Linked DNA regions of Callithrix jacchus. The protein of the gene in region 1 interacts with the protein of each later gene in a pairwise test. Links are inferred from orthologs where the notes say so. Each region holds a gene or a part of one and is shown in the gene's direction. Other genes may lie near its edges. The genes, in order: ATOSB, DNAJA3, KIF20A, CEP70, TRIM27 and FHL5.

Region 1 (3,957 bases):
GATCCTGTGCCTCAGCACGGCATAAGGCTCACCCCACAACCCTGTGGGGCACTCAGCCCTACAATATAAAAAATAAAAGTTTAGGCTGGGTGCGGTGGCTCAAGCCTGTAAACCCAGCACTTTGGGAGGCCGAGGCGGGTGGATCACGAGGTCAAGAGATCGAGACCATCCTGGTCAACATGGTGAAAACCCCTCTACTAAAAATACAAAAAAATTAGCTTGGCCTGGTGGTGCACGCCTGTAATCCCAGCTACTCAGAAGGCTGAGGTAGGAGAATTGCTTGAACCCAGGAGGCAGAAGTTGCAGTGAGCCGAGATTACGCCACTGCACTGTAGCCTGGGCGAAAGAGCGAGATTCCGTCTCAAAAGAAAGAAAGAAAGAATGTGACTTTTGGAGAACTTGATCAAATCAAGACTCAAGCCGTCCGCTCCTCGGAGAGGCCACAGACTGGCGCTGAGCTGGGTTCTCTCAGTTCTGCAAGTGTCCTGTGCTGCCATCTACCGGTGTCTGGTAAGCGTCGCCCTCCCTTACTGTATCTCCTGAGGAGAGGTTGGGAGAGAGGAGACTCAAGCGCCAATTAAATTGCAGAACATATGTAACTGTCATGCAGTTCATTCGACACCTGTACAAGGCAAAGGCCCCACTTTTCTTCAGCAATTGCAGGCCTTCCTAACTCCATATCAACACTCATCTCGTAAAATTCACAGACCTCTTCGCTGACCTGCCTCAATGGGTAACAGATCTGACTCCCACTGTCCATCCCAGAACCCACACCCGCCTCCACAGCGTAGGCTTCAGAAACTGCTCAACCTCACAAACGTGAACCCCACCGTCCAGATTCCCGGACCCCTGAGATTTCACAGACTCTTGAGATTCCTTGCACTACCTGGCAAACCCTACGGACCTCCCCTATTAGTGCAAATGCACGCGGCAACCCACACGTCCCTACAAAGAGGCTCGAGTTCCACAGGCAGCTCACACCCGCGCGAAAGCTGCGAGAGAGCCCCAACCCGGCTCAGAGCCCTCAGGCCTGTGGCTTTGGCCCGGGCTCCGGCTCCCCAGCCCCGCCTCGATCCTCTCGGCTCAGGCTAGCAGCCTACCGGCCGAGGCCCCACCCCTCTGGACCTGTCATCACAGAAGCCGCACGTGGCCAGGGTGGGACCTCAGGCGACCTGCAGCCATCACTTTGTCTCCTCCGTCATCCATTGGGGCCGCCACCGCCAATCAGAGCCAGCGGATCCGGGTTGGAGCGCCAGCGCCGGGGTGAGGCGAGCGGGAGAACGGGCGGAGGAAGGAGAGACTCTGAGATAGGAGGGGGATCGTGGTGGAAGCGGGTGTGGTGCGACTTCTACCAGGCTGGAATCCGAGGTGGGGCGCCGGTGAAAGGCGGAGAGAACCAGAGGAGGCAGGGATCAGGGGTGGGGCTTAGGAAAAGCGGAGGATCCTGGGGAAATGCAAAGAAAATGAGAAGGGGGCGGGGTCAGAAGGGGCGGGGCTCGGGCTACAGGGGAGGAGCTCGAGAAATTAAACGAGGAAAGGGACGAGGCCGGAGAAGGTGGAAGGTGGGACAAGGGAGAGGGTGGGCCGGGGCGTTGCGGGGGCGGGGCTCGTACCGAAGGGGCGAGGTTTGCAGGCCGAGGCTACAGCTAGGGCTGCTCAGTAACTGCCTCAATCACTACCACCTCCCCAAGTGCAACGGGACCCACGGAACTACAGGTGTGGGGCGGGGTGAGCGAGGAAGAAGGGACACGGATGGGGGTGCGCTTTGCAGACAATCTGGAGACTGCTGTGTGTTGAGGGAAGACACGGAGTCGGGGGAGCAGTTCGGGACTCAATGTGTGGGCAACAAGGTGCATTCTCCAGGGGCCTCTGTGGGGGAAGGGCGGGAGCGCTTTGTGGGGGGGTGCAAGGTACACTGTGAGGGGGCTGGTTCGCTGTCTGATGTGGGGGGGTTGGAGGCGGTACATAAAGGGGAGGGGACTTGGAGGCGCTTTGAAAGAAGGGAGACTGTTTAACGGAGAAGGGTGGTGGGCCAGAGTGTAGGGGTGTCGGAGAGTCTGCGGGCACTATCTGAGGGGAAGGGGTTGCAGGCCCCAGTTGAGACGGGAGAACAGAACCCCCAGTATCCTAGCAGTTTAGGGCATTGTAGTAACTCCAGGAAGACCTTTGTGTTCTGGGTTCTAGGAGCAAGGGTGATGGAATTAGTGAGGTGAGGAGGCCAATCTGTTGCACTCATGTCTTTTAACTCCACCTTCTGGCCTGGGCACTGAGAGGAGCCGGACCCTGCTTGTCACCAGGGCTTGTGTGACTGTCTCCTCAGTCTATTTTGGATCTGTCCAACTAAGACTGGGGTTTCTTCCCCTAGCTGAGGTCCCGTAGGACCCTTCCCCCACTGTGTTCCTGTCAACCCCCCATCCTAGTTCCTGTTCCTCCCAGAGCCGGCCTTGGTCTCTGTCTCCCCCCCTCCCCCGCCCTGCCCTGCCCTTAGGCTCTGGGTGTGCTCATTTCCCACTTCCTTCCTTGCCCCAGGGCCTGGCCTGGCCCTTGCCCATCTAGGAGCTGTGCCCTGCCCAGGACTTTGTACTCAATGACCAGAGACCCTGGTAACCAGCAGGAAGGCTCAGACCCCACCCCCACCACTACCACCCAGGTCTCGCATAGCCCCCCCAAGTAATTGGTAGCCACATTTTACCACTTGCCAACTGGTTCCAACTGGTTTTCCCGACTCTATTTATTTTTTATTTTCCCCACTCTTGTCCTTCCCCTGGATGGGGAACCCTAGGGCTTCTGTGGGAAGGGGGAAGTGGTGAGGAGTACTGAGGGTCTTCGATCTCTTTTGAGAGGCGGGCCACTACTGTAAGCTGAACCCAGAAAGGGGTATGAGGTTCCAGCCTCAGCTTGGGGAGGAAGAGGGAGTGGCTCCCCACACTCCCTGCTTGAAAGCACTATCAGGACCAAGACTAGGACCTAGTACTCCTGAGGGGTCCTCAGCTTCCCTGAGGAGATTTGATGGAGTGCCAGAGTTCTTTTTGCCCCTAGGCTGGCTGGGAGAGTGTGGGAAAGACTTGAGTTCCACACAGTGGCTGAATGAGTGTGACAGTGTTGCTAAAAGGGGCCCCAAGCCAGCCTCCTCACACAACTACCCAGGAGCTGAGAGACTGGCTGGGGAGGGGGGTGTGCTGAGGACAGACAAAGCCCTGGGGTAGGGTGGGGTAAAAAAGGGCAGGCTGAAGCCTTTTGAGGAGGAGCTGATTGCTATGGCAACACTGCTTCCCAGACAGTCTCGCAGAGAGGGCGGGCCTAGGGCAGACTCTCTCCAGCTTCCTCAGGAGTGGGGAGGTTTGTGTGAGTGGGTGGGGCATGAAGAGGCAGGGCATCAGTTTGCTGTGCTGAGACTGGAGGATGTAGCCTTTCTGCTTTGGTACAAGCAGCAGAGCATTCGAATGCCTGGACCTATCCTCTGAAATGGATATGAGTGAAAATTAGTCATTAGAATTATAGCACTAATAGGCCAGAGCTGCAGAGGCCCTCAGCAATCATTGTCTATACAATCCCCTCATTTTACAGGTTTAGAAATTTATAGCTAAAGAGACTGTGATTTCCCAGATATCACAATGAAAGGGCATAAGTTAGGATCCAGCTCTCCTGATTTGCTGTTCACTCAGCCCAGGGCCTGTTGTTTTCTTCAATCAACGTTTATTGAACATGCCAGGGACTAATGTTGACTCTGGGAATATGAGCGTGAACAAAACAAAGTTGCTGCTCTCATAGAGCTTCAATTCTAATAAGGGAGAAAGAAATTGTGGGGAGGGGGGAGGAAGAAGTCAAGTAGTGTTAACTGCTATAGAAAAATAAAGCAGGGTAAATTTAGTGCAGCAAGGTAAGGCCTCTTGGTTGTACCATGCTGCTTTCCCAGGATACGTTGAGGCCTGGAACAGCTCTGATCCTTCACCCTGA
Region 2 (4,116 bases), on another chromosome or scaffold:
TTTAAACCCAACTAAGAATCCTCAGGTTCTCTTGCTATTGTTTGAGGTGGTGCTGATGGTGACAGTGTAAAAACTGAAACTCCTTTGCAAGACTAACCAGGTCAGGTCTCCCTTTGTAGCTTCATCTTATCACATACTCTTATATTTAGGGCTTAAGCAAAGAAGGCAAACGTTTCCTATCTTAGACATTTGCTTCTGAAGTTCTGGCTACTCGGAATACTCCACTCCTACCTGACGCACTTTTCGTCAAAGTCCAATTTGAATCTTACCTCTCAGAAGCCCTGACATTCCAAACTTCCTCTCTCCCTTTTTAGAAAGGGAATGACTTGGGAGGCCGAGGCGGGTGGATCACGAGGTCAACAGATCGAGACCGTATTGGTCAACACGGTGAAACCCCGTCTCTACTAAAAATACAAAAAATTAGCTGGGCACGGTGGCGCGTGCCTGTAATCCCAGCTACTCAGGAAGCTGAGGCAGGCGAATTGCCTGAACCCAGGAGGCGGAGGTTGCGGTGAGCCGAGCCGAGATCGCGCCATTGCACTCCAGCAGCCTGGGTAAATGACACCTTCGCCTTGCATGGCTTTCTTGGGTAGCATTTAACATAGCTGCTAAGGAGCCCCTCTCGAGTCATTGTCTGCTCCTCCACAGCAGGGATGGTGTGTCATGCATCACTGTATCCCGGATATTCCAGAACATGCATGACACACATTAGGTGCTCACAAGTTTCACTAAGTTTTTAGGCAGCAACGCTCTCATTCTGAACCACCAAGTTCACTGCAGGTTTGGAGAAGACTAACATGCTTAAGAAGGGAGTTGAGTCTTGTTAGAGAAGGATGGTGGGGAATCAGAGTAAGAGAAAGTGAGACTGCGGCCGGGCTTTGGGGATGACAGCGAAGATTTACCATAAGCTCGCGGAGACAGCAGGAGTAAAACGCACGCAATTCACTGTAAGTCTCAGGGTCAGCAGGAGGGAACCAAGCACGGCATGCTGGGAGCGGCACTACAGAGCGCCGCGTTGCATGCCGGGACTTGTAGTCTCGCCCCCCTCCCCACACACACCCCGGTACCCTCGGACCGATTACGTTCGGCTACATTCAACCACGTCCTTATACAGATACCGTGCACTCATTGGTCGTCTATCACGAAACAACGAGATTATGCAGGGCAATTCTACCTAACAACACTATTCAGAGGAAACCCGGTTTCGGCGATGGCTACCAGGAAGACGCATTACGTGCGTCTGCGCGTGCGCAACGCTAGCGCCTCTACGCGCGCCCGCCGTTCCTGCGAGGGCCCTAGAGCCGGGCGGCGCAGGCGCAGTGTCCCTGGGCCAAGATGGCGGCGCGGTGCTCCACACGCTGGTTGCTGGTGGCTGTGGGGACCCCCCGGCTGCCGGCTGCAGCGGGGAGAGGGGCCCGGTCGCCCAGGGAGGGCGTGATAGGGGCATCGCTGAGCCGCAAGCTGGGCATCCCCGCCTTCCCGTCTACCCTGATCGCTTGTGGCCCCCGAACGCTGCTGACATTGAGACCTTGTGTCAACCTCACAGGTGAGGGCAGGTTCTAGCGCCCGAGTGGCGGTTTCAGGCCTACAAAGGAGCGAGTCTTCTCGCTGCGACTACCTCTGCGGGGGTAGCGGGGTGGAGGGTGTCTTCCGACCCCGATGCGGAATTGCGGGAGAGTCAGGCAGGCAGGAGGCGGAGAGGCCCTAGAGGCTACTCAGCCGTCTAGGGAGGGAGAGAAGCGTGGAGCCCACGGCGGCAGTGATGAAACACCCCGTAGATCGTGAACCTTCACCTCTCTGTCAACATTTCTGGAGGCCACTGCTCTTCCTTTCCCATCTCTCTACCTTCTAGCCCTTAGCGGAAGGCAAGAGGTAACTGCCCTTCGGGAAGGACTAGGTACTTTCTTACAACAACCCTGCGAGATGCCTGTCTTCATCCCCATTTTAAAGATTCACCAGAGGAATCGACCAGCCCAAGCCCAAGGTCATTAGGTTAGACTAGGAGTTGTCTCAAACCCAGAGCTGTCAGGTCATAACTTAGGCCCTTTCTACCACATGGTGCCAATTGAAAGGCACAGTTAATATGTTTTACAAGTCCTTAAGTTGGTAATTGTAATAACAACACAGACATTTATTGAGCACTTACTGTTGGTCAGGCATGGTTTTCCCCTTATATCACATTTCCATGTGATAGGCACTGTTATTCCATTTGATAAAGATACTGAGGCTTAGATGTTAAACCATTTATAAATGTCACAAAGAAGTGGAGCCTTGATTTGAAACTTGCCGCCTTCCTTGCCTGACATGATACCAAATTATACATTCCTTGAAGTGCTTATTGGTGTTTTACTTTCTTTTTCTTTTCTTTTCTTTTTTTTTTTTTTTTTTTTTTGAGGTGGAGTCTTGTTCTGTCACCCAGGCTGCAGTGTGGTGACTTGATTTCTGCTCAATGCAACCTCCGCCTCCCGGGTTGAAGCGATTCTCCTGCCTCAGCCTCCCCAGTAGCTGGGATTACAGGTGTCCACCACTATGCCCTGCCAATTTTTGTATCTTTAATAGAGATGGAGTTTCGGCATGTTGGCCAGGCTGGTCTCAAACTCCTAACCTCAGGTGATCCACCCACCTCGGCCTCCCAAAGTGCTGGGATTTACAGGCATGAGCCACCACGCCTGGCAGCCATGTTTTTTTATGCTGTGTGTTTTGTGCTGTATGTTGTATGTGCCTGAATTGTGCTAGTCGTTTTGTGTTCTCTAGGATTTGTCCAAATGATATTTAAGCTATCCATAAATTTATAAAGATTAATTAAAGGGCCCTGACTGGATAATTAATACCAGATAATTTTCTATTGCAATCCAGTTTTGTAATACTTACATAGTAGACAATAAAGTATCAGTAATTGTGGTTGTTTCATGCAATGTAAAGAAAATAACTTGGGCTTGAGGGGTGAACTTCGCCAGTGTGTGTGGCCTGGGTGTATTATTTAATAGCTTTGAGCCTCTCTTTGAAAATTCATTCATTTACGGGAATTAATTGAGGCCTATTTTATACCACCCACCATTGTGGGCACTGAGGAGACGACAGAGAGCAAAGAGATTGGATGTGTGTTTGATAAAGAGAATGATTATGGCCGGGCGCGGTGGCTCACGCCTGTAATCGCAGCACTTTGGGAGGCCGAGACAGGCAGATCACAAGGTCAAGAGATGGAGACCATCCCGGCCAACATGGTGAAACTCCATCTCTACTAAAAATACAAAAAATTTGCCGGGCATGGTGGTGTGTGCCTGTAGTCCCAGCTACTCAGGAGGCTGAGGCAGGAGAATTGCTCGAAACCAGAAAATGGAAGTTGCAGTGAGCTGGGATCGCGCCACTGCACTCCAGTCTGGCGATAGAGTGAGATTCTGTCTCAAAAGGAAAAAAAAAGATAATGATTATTTATTTATTTTTTAAGACAGGATCTCCTCCTGTTGCCCAGACTAGAGTGCAGTGGCACAATGACTACTCACTGCAGCCTTGACCTCCCAGGCTTCATCGATCCTCCATTCTCCACCTCCTGAGTAGCTGGGACTACAGGCATGTACCACCACACCTGGCTAGTTTTTCGTGTTTTTTGTAGTTGAGGTTTTGCCATGTTACCCAGGCTGAGCTCAAGTGATTCGCTTGCCTCAGCCTCCCAAAGGACTGGGATTGCAGGTGTCAGCCACTGCGCCTGGCCAAGAGAATAATTTTTTTGCGGTGGGGATGGACTCTTTCTCTGTCACCCAGGCCGAAGTACAGTGGTGTAATCCTGGTTCACTGCAACCTCTGCCTGCTGGGTTCAAGCGATTCTCTTGCTTTAGCCTCTCAAGTAGCTGGGATTACAGGTGTGTGCCGCCATACCAGACTAGCTTTTTATTTCTTGCTTTTTCTTTTTTTGAGATGGAGTCTTGCTCTGTTACCCAGACTAGAGTGCAGTAGTGTGATCTCAGCTCACTGCAACCTCTGCATCCCAAGTTCAAACAATTCTCTTACCTCAGCCTCCTGAGTAGCTGGGATTACATGTGCCAATGACCATGCCCAGCTGATTTTTGTATTTTTAGTAGAGACAGGGTTTTACCATGTTGGCCCTGCTGGTCTGGA
Region 3 (3,101 bases), on another chromosome or scaffold:
TAGTTATATGTTAGTCACTATGTCAAGTAATATATGTATTTCAATTCCAACAAATTATATTATTATCGTTATTTCCTTATTTTCCTGACAAGGATAGTGTGGTGAATGTAATATTACTGAAGCCATGTAGTTAGTCATGGGTAGAGTTAGGACCTGAGTCTAGATCCATGTATCTCCAAAGCCCACGATTGGGGGCCATTATATTGCCCCATTGTGTGTACAGCATCAGGCCTAGGGCATAACATTCCTTAAGTGTTTGTTGATTTGGGTGAAAGATAGACTAGCAGAGAGTGCTTAGTCCTCAGTGTTTGGGGAACAGCTGGCAGCACTACAGGAAGAAGCTGCTTGAGTGGTCTCCAGAGCCAACCACTCAGGAAGGAATATATCTGCAGCTTTGCACAGGAGGCAAGTGGGAGATGAAGGATAGGCCACTAAAAATCTGGGTCTCTTTCTAGATCTTTGGGCCAGAAGTGGGACAGGCATCCTTCTTCAACCTAACTGTGAAGGAGATGGTAAAAGATGTACTCAAAGGCCAGAACTGGCTCATCTATACATATGGAGTCACTAACTCAGGGAAAACCCACACGATTCAAGGTGAGTAGTAATGCTTCACAGGATTCCTGATTGGCTGCTAATGGCATTGTTTTTACCTTTTGATACTCTGAGTTAGGGGGAGAAAGACACTTGCCTCAGCCATCTTTCATATGCCTCCAGGTACCATCAAGGATGGAGGGATTCTTCCCCGGTCTCTGGCACTGATCTTCAATAGCCTCCAAGGCCAACTTCATCCAACACCTGATCTGAAACCCTTGCTTTCCAATGAGGTAATTTGGCTAGATAGCAAGCAGATCCGACAGGAGGAAATGAAGAAGCTATCTCTGCTAAATGGAGGTCTCCAAGAGGTAAAGCATTGGTATCCATGGCAGTGGGGGCAGGGGGTACAAATCTAGGGAAGTTTTGTGCTTACCTTCTCCCTGTGCCCCTCTAGGAGGAGCTGTCCACCTCCTTGAAGAGGAGTGTCTACATTGAAAGTCGGATAGGTACCAGCACCAGCTTCGACAGTGGCATTGCTGGGCTCTCTTCCATCAGTCAGTATACCAGCAGTAGCCAGCTGGATGGTATGTACGATGACTGGGCTCTGCCAAGAAACAGTAGGAACCCACTCCCTGTTCCTAACAGCTGCCCAGAGTACAGACCAGAGGTTGCAATCTGAGGTCTGCCTTCTGAAGCCCCTGCAGGCCAAAAAGAGATGAACTGCTCTAAGTTGATGCCCTATACATTGGCTTCTTCCCCAGAAACAAGTCACCGATGGGCACAGCCAGACACTGCCCCAGTACCTGTCCCAGCAGACATTCGCTTCTCCATCTGGATCTCATTCTTTGAAATCTACAATGAATTGCTTTATGACCTATTAGAACCGCCTAACCAGCAGCGCAAGAGGCAGACTTTGCGGCTATGCGAGGATCAAAATGGCAATCCCTATGTGAAAGGTATGAGAAATGGGGGAAGTTGGCATGAACACTGGAGGGCAATTGGGGAGAGACTGGCAAAAGAGTTGGATGTTCCCATCTTATACCCTTCTCTACTTTGGCCTCAGATCTCAACTGGATTCATGTTCAAGATGCTGAGGAGGCCTGGAAGCTCCTGAAAGTGGGTCGTAAGAACCAGAGCTTTGCCAGCACCCACCTCAACCAGAACTCCAGCCGCAGGTGAGTGGATTGTAAGAATAAACTTCACTGTGTTCAGGAAACATTAGTGTTCCGTCTGGTCATAGAAGATGTGCAATGACTGTTTTTCATAACTTCCAGTCACAGCATCTTCTCAATCAGGATCCTACACCTTCATGGGGAAGGAGATATAGTCCCCAAGATCAGCGAGTAAGTTTTTCCATTTCGAAATTTGGGCTTCTTGGTCATAAATGGTAGTCGGGAAAGCATGAGGGAGGTTCTTAGGGGAACTTGTTCTCCTTCTTTGGGTGCAGAGATTCTTAGTGGGCCCTCCCCTCTCCAGAATTATACAAAGGGCCAGAAGGCTCATAACATATGAGGCCCTTGTCAGATCCTGTGCATCATTCTAGGCTGTCACTCTGTGATCTGGCTGGCTCAGAGCGCTGCAAAGATCAGAAGAGTGGTGAACGGTTGAAGGAAGCAGGAAACATTAACACCTCTCTGCACACCCTGGGCCGCTGTATTGCTGCCCTTCGTCAAAACCAGCAGAACCGGTGAGCTTTTGATTATAAGCCCTAGGCTCTGCAATTTGCTAAGAGACTTCCTGATCACCACTGGTGCTAGGCTACCCCAAAGGCTGCTGTTCTGCTCACAGCTCTAGTATCTCTGATTCTCTGCCAGCTCAAAGCAGAACTTGGTTCCGTTCCGTGACAGCAAGTTGACTCGAGTGTTCCAAGGTTTCTTCACGGGCCGAGGCCGTTCCTGCATGATTGTCAATGTGAATCCCTGTGCATCTACCTATGATGAGACTCTTCATGTGGCCAAGTTCTCAGCCATTGCTAGCCAGGTGAGAAGCTAGAGGTATGATGGGTATGCTCAACTTGGAACTGGTAACTCTAAGAAAGCTCCTAGGGACTACTTACAGACTCAAGTAAGATATATTTTTTTTTCTCTCTAGCTTGTGCATGCCCCACCTGTGCAACTAGGATTCCCATCCCTGCACTCATTCATCAAGGAACATAGTCTTCAGGCATCCCCCAGCTTAGAGAAAGGGGCTAAGGCAGACGCAGGCCTTGATAATAACACTGAAAATGAAGCTGACGTCTCCATGTATGGCAAAGAGGTGAGAATTCAAGAAGGCTTTGGTGCAGCAGCTTAGTAGCTACACATTTTCTATGGTGCCTTCCAGGTGGGCTTGTGCCTCTCGAGGGCATGGGCATCTGATGACCTCTGACACGTGTCTCTCCCCTAGGAGCTTCTACAAGTAGTGGAAGCCATGAAGGTACTGCTTTTGAAAGAACGACAGGAAAAGTTGCAGCTGGAGATGCAGCTCCGAGATGAAATTTGCACTGAGATGGTAGAACAGATGCAACAGCGGGAACAGTGGTGCAGGTACTAGCTGAGTGATCCCTCTTGCTCTGTCACCTGGGACAG
Region 4 (3,500 bases), on another chromosome or scaffold:
TAGAGCAAAGCCGAGCAGCCCATCAAGAACAACGAGCTAATGACTTGGAACAAATTATGGAGAGTGTGAAATCCAAAATTGGTGAATTGGAGGATGAATCACTAAATAGGTTTTGCCAGCGACAGAATAAAATAAAAGATCTTCAACAGGAGCAGAAAACTTTACAGGTACTGAATTATGAATTCTTAGATGATGGTTAGTACTAAAACAGCTAATTATGGTCTCAGGTAACTTGCGTGTTGCTTAATTTAGTGGTTTTTACCTTTTTTGGCCTATCACTGCTACTTTGAAATTCCCTTCGCTTGGTTTCCAGAATATCCTCTTTGTTTCCCTCTGACCTCACTGATCATTCTCTAATTTCTTTTGCTGTTTTTTTTTCTCATCTCCCTCACCTCTTGGTATTGGAATTCCCCAGTGCTCAGTCCTTAGATCTTTTCTGTTTCCTGTATACTCTGATTCCCTTGGTGATCTCAATCTAATTTGGGATCTGAAATTTCTATCTATAGCCCAGTCCTCTCCCCAAATGCCAGACTCAAATCTAGCTGCCTACTTTATATCTCTACTGGATATCTAATAGGAATCTACAACTTTGTTTATTTACTTTTTTGACACAGCTTCTGGCTCTATCACCTAAGTTGGGGTGCAGTGGTGTAGTCTTGGCCCAATGCAACCTCTGCCTCCTGCACTCAAGTGATTCTTCCACCTCAGCCTCTGGAGTAGCTGGGAATATAGGTGCATGCCACCATGCCTGGCTAATTTTTATATTTTTTATAGAGACAGGGTTTTGCCATGTTACCTAGGCTGGTCTTAAACTCCTGAGCTCAAGTGATCCACCCTTCTAGGCCTCCCAAAGTGCTGGGATTAGAGGCGTAGGCCACTGCACCTGGCTGGTGGCATCTACAACTTTTTATGTCTAAAACTTCTTTTTGTAGAAATGGCAACTTTATAACATTAAATAATTAACTCCCTAATTTTAAAAGCTATTAAAACTTCGGTGTTTATTGTGATGAAAGAAAATGAGTCTTTTGTGCTGGTAACTGTTTAGTTGCATGAGGTGTTTCTGATCTTTACTAACGTACCATTTTAAACATTAAGTCCTTATTTTAGTGGTTTTGCTCACACAACACTATATATACCTTTGCATATGTAGGTTCAGATTACCTAAAAGGGAGCAGTATTCATCAGGCAAAGTCTAGAATTCCCCTCAGTGTATGCTGCCAGTGTTGGAGGTATCAAGTGAGTTAGCATAAATTCCATGGAGTTTGAGAGACTCTACCAGAGATACTATGGAGCTCTAGTATGAGGATAGAGGCAGTTGGTACACTATCCTCATTTATGCTGCCAGCTTGGGGCAGGCAGTACTAGAGCTGCTGGTATTGATCATAGTTTCAGAGAAGACATTGCTGGACAAACTCCTTTACCATTAGAATGTTGTATTTTTAGACTGGCTTTGTTAACAAGGTTGCTTTCTTCATCAATAGTGTATTTATAAAATCATGCAGTAGGCTGGGCCCTAGAACTCCCAAGAGAATATGCCCTTTGTCTTCAGCTACCAGAGTGGGTAGAGAGGGACTATCAGGTGGGGGCAGGGTTAGGTGTTTCTGAGCTCAGATTCTCCTTAGGTGGGGCTTGCTGCAGCTGCTGTGGGGAATAGGGGTCTGGTTCCCAGGTAAATAGAGTTATTTTCCCAGGAGGATTATGGCTGTCTCTGCTGTGTCATGCAGATTGTCAGGAAAGTTGGGGAAAGCCGGCAGTTATAGGCCTCACCTAGTTCCCATACAACCCAAAAGGCTGGTCGCATGTCACCAACAGCACCAAGTTCATTTCCAGGCAGTGGGTGAGCAGAGCTGAGAACTTGTCCCAGGCTACCAGCCTCCCAGCTGAGAAAGCAAGCAGGGCTTCCGTGGCTCCCCATTTGTCAAATCTGTACACTGGATTTATTCTTGCCCTTCCCCAAGTTCTGGCCAGGAAACTTCATGTCAGATTGGAGTTGTTAGAAAGTTCAGCTGGGGGTTTCCTTCTCTATGTGGTCTTTTACCAGCTTCCCTGGCAGCCTTTCCAAAGGGCCCCTGTGAGACAAGTCAGAAATGGCTTCCCAGGGGACCCAGAGATCCCACAGGGCTTTTCCCATTCCTTCCTCTACCCCTTTATTTTGCTCAGCTCTCTAATTTGACTCAGTTACAGGTAAGGTCAAATCCTGTGCCATGAACTAGACCTTCAGGTTCCCCAGTGAGGATGTATATTCAGGAGTAGACAATCCCACCTTTCCCACTTGCATAGCTTGGGCATTCACAGTATTTGGGGTGTCTCCTAGGTCCTGCAGGAGCAATCCACTTCCTTGAGAGGTCTGTGAATTTTCTCAGCTTTCCTGGTATATTCCTGAAGTAGTTTTGGAGCAAAAGTTTGTGGTATGAGTCTCCACCCACTGCTCTATTCATTTGAGTGGGAACTGCAATCTAGTCCTGCCTCCTATCTGCCATTTACCCCTAGCATTTCCATGTCTTGTTTCTTTAAGCTGTAGTTCATGGTGTCTTGTTTCCTTATGTGCCTGCTTATCTGCATATGCAAGGAATAGTATTTTTAAAAGTATTGATGGGAATTATTCGAAGCCTAAGATTAAGGCATCTTATTCCAAAGAGCAAGCTGGGTCACAACCTGGCTTCCAATCTCCTGGATATAACCAAGGAACCTCAAGCAAGATCTTAGTTTAAGGAGTTGGAGAAATATTTTTATTTATTTATTTTTTGAGATGGAGTCTTGCTCTGTCTCCTAGGCTGGAGTGCAGTGGCACTATCTTGGCTCACTGCAACCTTTGCCTCCCGGGTTCAAGCAATTCTCCTGCCCCAGCCTCCTGAGTAGCTGGGACTACAGGCGCTCACCACCACACCTGGCTAATTTTTGTATTTTTAGTAGAGACGGGGTTTCACTATATTGGCCAGGTTAATCTCGAACTCCTGACCTTGTGATCCGCCCACCTCAGCCTCCCAAAGTGCTAGGATTACAGGCATGAGCCACCGTGCCTGGCCAGAAATGACAGTTTATATATATCATTTGACATAAGAAAATAACAATCCTCTTTAGAGGAAGATGCCATGCACATACCATGCAGGAAACCCAAAGAAGTGAGTTTAGCTTTGGGGGCTACAGTTTCCCCCAAGGGTGTTTTGGGATTTTTGAAAATTAAGATGATTGTATTTTTTTTTCTTTATTGTGTTAATGTGGTGTATTACATTGATTGATTTTTCTATGTTGAGTCATCTTTGCATTCTAGGGATAAATTCCACCTGGTCATGGTATATAATCCTTTTACTGTGTGTTGAATTTGGCCTGCTAATATTATGTTGAGGATTTTTGCATTCATATTCGTAATAGATATTGGTCTATAGTTCTCTCCTTTTTGTAGTATCTCTGGCTTGGTATCAGGATAATGTTGGCCTGGTACAGTGAATTAAGAGATATCCAGCTGATTTTTGTATACAGTAGTTCCCCCTCATCCATGG
Region 5 (4,142 bases), on another chromosome or scaffold:
AAGAATTGCTTGAACCCAGAAGGCGGAGGTTGCAGTGAGCCGAGATCGTGCCATTGCACTCCAGTCTGGGTAACAAGTGAAACTCTGTCTCAAAAATAATAATAATAATAATAATAAACTTACTTTCACTTTGAAAAAATAAAAATAAAGTGATCATCTGGAAGCAGAAGCCTGTCTTGCTCAGACAGCAGGATAATTTTGAGAAAAATTTCAAAGAAAACTAGGAAACGCCAGTAAGGGATAAGAACGTAACATAAAAATGCTGGCGGGGGCCGGGCGCGGTGGCTCACGCCCATAATCCCAGCACTTTGGGAGGCCGAGGCGGGTGGATCACGAGGTCAAGAAATCGAGACCATCCTGGTCAACATGGTGAAACCCCGTCTCTACTAAAAACACAAAAATTAGCTGGGCATGGTGGCGCGTGCCTGTAATCCCAGCTACTCAGGAGGCTGAGGCAGGAGAATTGCCTGAACCCAGGAGGCGGAGGTTGCGGTGAGCCGAGATCGCGCCATTGCACTCCAGCCTGGGTAACAAGAGCGAAACTCCGTCTCAAAAAAAAAAAAAATGCTGGCGGTCTGCGGCCTCCAAGACCCTGGGTCGATGCCTCAGAAAGGAGCAAGCAATTTGTAGTTGCTACTCAGCACAACAACCCTATGTAGTGGGCATTTTATTACTATTTTAATGGATAAACAACCCTATGGTACAAAAAGTAAAAGATGTAAGGAAATGTACTTCTTACTGCGGTACAATTATCCCCATTTCACACGGGAGAAACTGAGGTAAATGAATGGTAAACCAACTTGCCTGAGCACAGGAGAGAAGTAGCAGAACTGGGCTTGTTATTGCAACACAGAAACGTTACCGTCTGATATCTAAACGAAACTGCAGGTGCCTACAAATGGGGCTGCTTAATAAAAGGCCCCACGTCTCAGGTGGGCTAGTCCGCAACCCTCATCCTCCAGACTCCGGGGGAGGCCAGATGTCTCCGTTCGTTCCTCGGCATCCACACAAAGCCTGCTTTCTTCTGCAGGGCTGGGACCCAGGCACCAAAAGGAAACCGAACAAAGACTCGGGGCCCGGCCCGGCAGCCGCGGAAGCCTATAGGCCCGGAGCGCGTGGCCAGGAGACCCGGTCGGCGCCGCGCCCGGAGACAGCGCCGGCTCTCGGGCCCCGACCCCTAGGCTGGAGCTTCGGCGCGACCGGGCCAGGGACCGCGGCAGAGCCTCCTCGGCCTTTCCGAGAAGAAAATCCCAGGCCCCGAGGCCACGAAATCTAGCCTCTCACTGGGAGCGCGGGCCAAGCCCCGCCCGCCGAGCCGCCTCTTCCGCTCGCGCCGGGGTGGGGTCTGCGCGGCCGCCGGGACCCGCTTCGGACGCGGCCACGTTGTCTTGCGCGCCTGCCCCTGGGCTTCTGCCCCTCGGCGACCCGGCCCTGCCCCGGAGCGTGTTCGCGCCTTCATCGGGGGCCCCGGCGCGGGGAGCGGCGCGGCCACCTCGAGTCTTCGCGGCGCGGGCGCGTCTGGATCCGGGCCCGGGAGGCGCCGCCCTCCGCCCGCCCCGCGCCTCCCGGGAACGGCGACCGGAGAGCGCGGGAGAGTTGGGCGCGGCGCGGAGCTCGGTCGGGGCCCATGCCCGTGCGCCCCGCAGGCCCCGCCATGGCGTCCGCGAGCGTGGCCGAGTGCCTGCAGCAGGAGACCACCTGCCCCGTGTGCCTGCAGTACTTCTCCGAGCCCATGATGCTCGACTGCGGACACAACATCTGCGGCGCGTGCCTGGCGCGCTGCTGGGGCGCGGCGGAGACCAACGTGTCGTGCCCGCAGTGCCGGGAGACCTTCCCGCAGCGGCACCTGCGGCCCAACCGCCACCTGGCCAACGTCACCCAGCTGGTGAAGCAGCTGCGCTCCGAGCGGCCGGTGGGCCCGGGCGGGGAGATGGGCGCGTGCGAGAAGCACCGCGAGCCGCTGAAGCTGTACTGCGAGCAGGACCAGACGCCCATCTGCGTGGTGTGCGACCGCTCCCGCGAGCACCGCGGACACAGCGTGCTGCCGCTCGAGGAGGCCGTGGAGGGCTTCAAGGTGAGCTGGCGGGGCGGGCGGCGGACAAAGGGAGGGGGAGAGCCCGGGGCGTCCCTTTTCCGCCCAGAAAATGGCTGAGCCGGACGTGGGGCTGGTTCGCAGCCGTCATTTCCTCCCCGTGCGCCCCGGAGCCTCCGCGCTCGGATCTGGAGGAAAACCTGTGGCTGGCGAAGAAGCCACAAGTCCCCCCACCCCCACTCTCCTCGCTCCGTGTGCCCCCGAGTTTCCTGCCTCGCGGGCGCGTTGTACACGGAGACCTTTTGACAGAATGAAAGAAGCGCATACAACCCGCGCACATCCGCAAGCTGGGGACACGCTCCGCTCCCACCGGCTCGCAACAAAACGCGCTCAGACGTTCACTGACTCACGGCCATTCCTTAGTGTAGAAGCATTTTCTCTAGCACTTTCGTTCAGTCTGCCCGGCTCTAGAAGCTCACGGAAAATAACAGCTCTTTGGTGCTTGAGTAAGTCGTTTAACTACTCTAGGACCCAGGAGATAACACAGTCATGAGGAAGAACGTGGAATCACAGGACGCTCAGAGCCCTCTGCTAACCGGCACAGCTAAACAAACAGTAACGTGCAGACAAAGTGTTCCAAATAAAACACTTGTAAGGCGCCCTTCAAGGAGTCCATGACACAATTATTTGTATCTTGAGGGCTTCAGTAATGCATACACAATTATGTCCCTGTTTAATGGGAGTACATTCATGTGTAATCCCTTAACATTAATGGACCTTTCAGCTATATTATTTCACTCACTGGTGATACATCTTGAGCAGGTTGGGAAGATGGTGTTTGCCCATGTCACACCTGAGGAAAATAAGTCACCTTCGCAGTATGCCTGTGAGGAAAAGCTCCAGTACCACACAACTCTCAGCCTCCTGCTCCAGTCACATTTCCGCTAAGTCATGCAATATCCGACCAGGGACAGGTAGATGACTCATTGTTTAAGATAGACACAAATAGTCCTGACGCAGTAGCTGAGTGGTTGAAGCCACAGGCTGCTTAGATAGACACAAAATGCCAGAGGCGAGGCTTGATGGCCCCTGTGCCCTGGGTCTTAATCTTGTGGGTGGCACTGTGGCCTGAGGACAGGACCAGACAGGACTTGGCATCAGGTGTGTGGACTCCATCTGTGATAAGAATGACCATGCTATTGGGTGAGGTGGCTCACACCTGTAATCCCAGCACTTTGGGAGGCTGAGGCAGACAGATCACAAGATCGGGAATTTGAGACTTGCCTGACAGACTTGGGGAAACCATCTGTACTCAAAGTACAGATATTAGCTGGGTATGGTGGCACGTGCCTGTAGTCCCAGCTACTCGGGAGGCTGAGGCAGGAGAATCGCTTGAACCTTTGAGGTGGAGGTTGCAGTGAGCTGAGATTGCGCCACTGCACTCCAGCCTGGATGACAGAGTGAGATTCCGTCTCGATGACCATGCTGATGCTAAGGTCTACTTAATTTTGAACTGCCATCTGTTTTGCTTTTCTCAGGAGCAGATTCAGAACCAGCTGGACCACCTTAAAAGAGTGAAAGATTTAAAGAAGAGACGTCGGGCCCAGGGGGAACAGGCACGAGCCGAACTCTTGGTAAGGGTTGTCCGAATTCACAGTCGCTTCTGCTGGTGCTCCCCTCTTCTGTAGAGCTGTTACTTCCCTTAAACTTCTCCAGCAAGTCATCCAGAACTTGTAGGTAGAGGTGGATCAACCGCACATGGCGGGGGATCTCACCCTGAGAACTGAGAGATTCCCTTACTTTTGGGGAAAGGATGGAGGAGCCTAGTTTGGAACCCCTGGAAACCAGACCTGTCAATAAAGCTTAACCTGCTAACTGCATAGACCACGGTTGATTCTTGGCAAAACTGACATAGATAACTTTATTGGGTACAGTCAGCTCCCTTTGTTACCATTCTGCAGACGTCCTGTATAAGGCCCACTGTTGCTTCTCTCTGGGTTATTCTCCTTGACAGTGCCTTGATTGTGGAGTTTTTACTCTGTTCTCTTCTTCCAGCCTCAAGGCCTTGACAAGTGGCTGATGTGTTAATTCATGATAGAGGTATTTAGGA
Region 6 (3,500 bases), on another chromosome or scaffold:
CATAAATTGAAATGAGAAAGCTGAAGCAGGAAAACACACTGTATTAGTGTAGCGGTTTCTAAGTATTTTCTTATCTATGGGCTACTTTGGCAGAACTCTTAAGCCCATTTGTATATCTGGACAGCTGGAAGTCACACTACCACTTTCTACACATGCATACGTGAACAAACATGCACATACACACATGCACACAGTAATTTTTTAACACACATAACCAATACCAATCCTGCATTTAAAGAGGCAACAATACAGTATGCTATATCATAATTATTAAGTTACACTATATTGATGGCTGAGAACTACAATTGATCACAACAAGATATCAAATAATCTTATGACTGAGAACTTCATTATTCTACCAAAACACTGGCTTAGAAAATGACTTTATAAGCAGCAAACTATATGACCATATGACATATGAAGCTCCAAAGAATTAGCAGAGTCAATGACAGCATTTAAAAACATGCTGGAGGCTGGGCATGGTGGCTCACATCTGTAATCCCAGCACTTTGTGAGGCCGAGGTGGGAAGATTGCCTCAAGCCAGGAGTTCAAGACCAGCCTGGGCAACATAAAAAAACTTTAAACATTAGCCAGGTGTGGTAACATGTGCCTGTAGTCACAGCTACTGGGAAGGCTGAGTCAGGAGGATCACTTGAGCCCAGAAATTCAAGGCTGCAGTGAGCTATGATTGAGCCACTGCACTCCTGCCTGGGTGACAATGAGATCCTATCTCTAAAAATATATATAAAAATTAAAAATTAAAGGAATTAAAATCATGCTGGAAATAAAATGAATAGGTTTATCTCACTGTTTTAAGAGACAACTGAGTTGGCCAATTTTAGGCTTCATTTCTTAAAGACTTAGACTAAAAGTAATTAAATTTGTGAGAATTACCTTAAAATCAATTACTGGACACAATACAAAGTCTCTTTCAATGCTATAAAAATTCAGGAGTGAAACTTCTTTAGTACATTCATGCTGAGAACTGTCTGGGCCAAGTGCTGGTGTTTCCCAGGTTATAGGAGCCTGTAACTATATTTAGGATATGATTTGAAGTCATCAAAAATTTACAAAATATTTATATTGGGTAGTAGACAGATTGTGACATACCAGATTGTTTTTTATTTAGTTTTTAAAACCACAAGTCCTTTTCTAAAAAGCTAGATATGTTTTTGCTCAAGACGATCCAATCTAAACAATTTTTAAACTCAAGGCAAAGACCAAATTTTTTCTTAAGAAAAAGGAAAAACTACTTGACAACCAGGCCCTTAAAACCTTTAAGCTTTAAAGTCCATAGATTTTATTTTATTATACTAAGATTTATTTTCTGCCAGAAAGAAAATGACTTCAAACTACAAATGCTTCAAATTCAAATTCCTCAAGATTCAAAAAGAGTTAAATGTCTTCTTTGATTCTTCATCTGTCACCTACTGAGTACAAAATCATTATTGCCTCCACTTTTTCAGAGAAGAAACTTTTTCTAAATCCTGGGATCAATCAGTGGTGAAAACCAAGCTCAGATATTAGACTTCATCTTAACCTTCCTACCTCTTCAAAAGGAATATAATCACAAGCAAACTATTTTTAATGTTCCAGAGTTTCTTCTCTCTAATTAAACAGTCTTTGGTGTATATATCAAGTTTTATTTTGCTGTGAATACATTTTTCAAGTTTTGAATCTTTTAAGCATTGCCTGCGAATACTTAGCCCAAATAAATCAAAGGAATCATGAATTCTGCTGTGTCTGCTGTAAGGCATTTGAAGTCAGTAGGGGGTATTTTAAATTTCTTTACTTCCATCACACCATTATGCTTCCCATTTACTTGTTCAGAATAGCATGCTTTTTTCCCCTAGGAAAATAATCTTTTATATCAAATATCTTTAATTTCTAAGATATTTGTTATAAAATTAAAAATATCTTTAGAATAATTTTTTCACAAGTCTGTATTACAGACAACATTTCTGAGTTTGTAAACAAGGAAGTGGTTTAAAATAGGCTCTGTGTTTTTGCTATCTAGTTAATTTGATACAAAGTTTATAGGAACCACCTCAGATATCCCATTGCTTCATTATAAAACATTTACAAAAACACACTTCAGTATCTACGGCAACTCCAAGAGCTCATTAGCTGTGAATTCAAAAGGTGATATGGCTTAAAAATAGTTACACGAGAAGAATTGCCCAATATTTATCCATCTGAATCTGCATAAAGATTTTTCAGCCTTTTAAAAGGTAGAATTCATGAATTAAACTGGTTTAGAAAAAAAATATTATCTTATGGAAAATTAATTACATCTCTGACAAAACGCTTCACATCACACGTTAAGGCTCAATGTACAACCAGTGCTCATTCCACTGAGTTCTGATTCCCACAGCACCCCATTGCTAGATACAATACTGGAATTGCTTTCCAGCTATTTTTTCCTTTGGTATTTATTCATTCATTCAACAAGGATTTATCAGCTGCTTACCTGTGCAAGATAACCTTGACTCAGTCTGGTACTAATGGTGAAGCACACAGGCTATGGAGTCAGACCATGCAGGTTTGAATACTAGCTCACTGTGGCCATGGCAAGTAACTTAATGACTGTAAGCCTCAGTAGTTGCTCATCTGGAAAGAGGGAAAGATAGTAGTCTCTACTATGTAGAGGTGTTGAGACTTTTTAGAAGAGGTCATCCTTGGCACGGTGCTAAGGACTAAAAAAACACTTAGGAAATGGTAGTTATCATTAGCAAATAACGGTGCTTGCCAATTCCATTCAGAGTTACCAATATAGCCCTGCCTCTGTTCTATTTCATTGTAGGAGAAAAATATACAGTAATTTTCATTTCTTTCTACTTCTAGCTCATTTCTATAGCCTTTGGCTTCTCATATTATTATACCTTTTTCTTTAAAGACATTTTTTAGGAAAGGAACATCCTAACATGAGGTGAAAATAGAGTAGCTGGAAGCATCAGTTCTGGATATAGAAGACATAAAATGATCGTTTTTTTCATTTTGCTTCCTTTTCCCCCCACAGATACTGGAATCTAAAGAGAATCATGAAGTGATCTGAATTGTAATGGTTCCCATGGTCATTGCCTTTTCTGTGGTCTTTGGCAGGTGATAACTTCAGGTGGGATAACATTTTGTGACCAGCTATGGCATAAAGAGTGTTTTCTGTGTAGTGGCTGTAGGAAAGATCTCTGTGAAGAACAGTTTATGTCCAGAGATGACTATCCATTCTGCGTGGACTGCTACAACCATCTTTATGCCAACAAGTGTGTAGCCTGTTCCAAACCCATTACTGGTGAGTTCTCCAGTTCAATATGATCATGCCATGAAACAGGTATGGCTATACAAAAGGCTGTCTAGTTAATTTAGGAAATGCAAGTAAAAGATGGGAAGCTTTCATTTATGTTTCCTTTTGAGATAAACACAAGCGGGTACCTATATATGAGTACAAATATTACATGGAATTCTCAAGGAAAGTACAAGAGTATACTTTGGGAGCCTGCAC

Evidence for each region.
Region 2: the proteins of ATOSB (region 1) and DNAJA3 interact in binary tests that used the Homo sapiens proteins (3 or more experiments, as listed by UniProt). The link is inferred for Callithrix jacchus from reciprocal best matches to the Homo sapiens genes ATOSB and DNAJA3.
Region 3: the proteins of ATOSB (region 1) and KIF20A interact in binary tests that used the Homo sapiens proteins (3 or more experiments, as listed by UniProt). The two-hybrid records come from large-scale screens. The link is inferred for Callithrix jacchus from reciprocal best matches to the Homo sapiens genes ATOSB and KIF20A.
Region 4: the proteins of ATOSB (region 1) and CEP70 interact in binary tests that used the Homo sapiens proteins (3 or more experiments, as listed by UniProt). The link is inferred for Callithrix jacchus from reciprocal best matches to the Homo sapiens genes ATOSB and CEP70.
Region 5: the proteins of ATOSB (region 1) and TRIM27 interact in binary tests that used the Homo sapiens proteins (3 or more experiments, as listed by UniProt). The link is inferred for Callithrix jacchus from reciprocal best matches to the Homo sapiens genes ATOSB and TRIM27.
Region 6: the proteins of ATOSB (region 1) and FHL5 interact in binary tests that used the Homo sapiens proteins (3 or more experiments, as listed by UniProt). The two-hybrid records come from large-scale screens. The link is inferred for Callithrix jacchus from reciprocal best matches to the Homo sapiens genes ATOSB and FHL5.

Annotation. Positions count from the first base shown.
Region 1 is NC_133502.1:141,997,497-142,001,453, reverse strand, and holds the start of ATOSB (atos homolog protein B), read left to right. Parts: upstream 1-1,157; 5' UTR 1,158-1,368; intron 1,369-1,526; exon of another isoform or gene 1,527-1,850; intron 1,851-3,957. UniProt on the Homo sapiens protein: Transcription regulator that may syncronize transcriptional and translational programs.
Region 2 is NC_133513.1:6,527,822-6,531,937, forward strand, and holds the start of DNAJA3 (dnaJ homolog subfamily A member 3, mitochondrial), read left to right. Parts: upstream 1-1,316; 5' UTR 1,317-1,335; coding exon 1,336-1,546; intron 1,547-4,116. UniProt on the Homo sapiens protein: Modulates apoptotic signal transduction or effector structures within the mitochondrial matrix. Affect cytochrome C release from the mitochondria and caspase 3 activation, but not caspase 8 activation.
Region 3 is NC_133503.1:36,590,327-36,593,427, forward strand, and holds part of KIF20A (kinesin-like protein KIF20A), read left to right. Parts: intron 1-455; coding exon 456-594; intron 595-714; coding exon 715-902; intron 903-988; coding exon 989-1,118; intron 1,119-1,295; coding exon 1,296-1,490; intron 1,491-1,597; coding exon 1,598-1,709; intron 1,710-1,808; coding exon 1,809-1,877; intron 1,878-2,077; coding exon 2,078-2,221; intron 2,222-2,348; coding exon 2,349-2,514; intron 2,515-2,625; coding exon 2,626-2,790; intron 2,791-2,919; coding exon 2,920-3,059; intron 3,060-3,101. UniProt on the Homo sapiens protein: Mitotic kinesin required for chromosome passenger complex (CPC)-mediated cytokinesis. Following phosphorylation by PLK1, involved in recruitment of PLK1 to the central spindle. Interacts with guanosine triphosphate (GTP)-bound forms of RAB6A and RAB6B.
Region 4 is NC_133518.1:45,794,728-45,798,227, forward strand, and holds part of CEP70 (centrosomal protein of 70 kDa), read left to right. Parts: coding exon 1-167; intron 168-3,500.
Region 5 is NC_133505.1:2,069,995-2,074,136, forward strand, and holds the start of TRIM27 (zinc finger protein RFP), read left to right. Parts: upstream 1-1,342; 5' UTR 1,343-1,627; coding exon 1,628-2,074; intron 2,075-3,570; coding exon 3,571-3,666; exon of another isoform or gene 3,667-4,142. UniProt on the Homo sapiens protein: E3 ubiquitin-protein ligase that mediates ubiquitination of various substrates and thereby plays a role in diffent processes including proliferation, innate immunity, apoptosis, immune response or autophagy.
Region 6 is NC_133505.1:102,562,312-102,565,811, forward strand, and holds part of FHL5 (four and a half LIM domains protein 5), read left to right. Parts: intron 1-3,103; coding exon 3,104-3,290; intron 3,291-3,500. UniProt on the Homo sapiens protein: May be involved in the regulation of spermatogenesis. Stimulates CREM transcriptional activity in a phosphorylation-independent manner.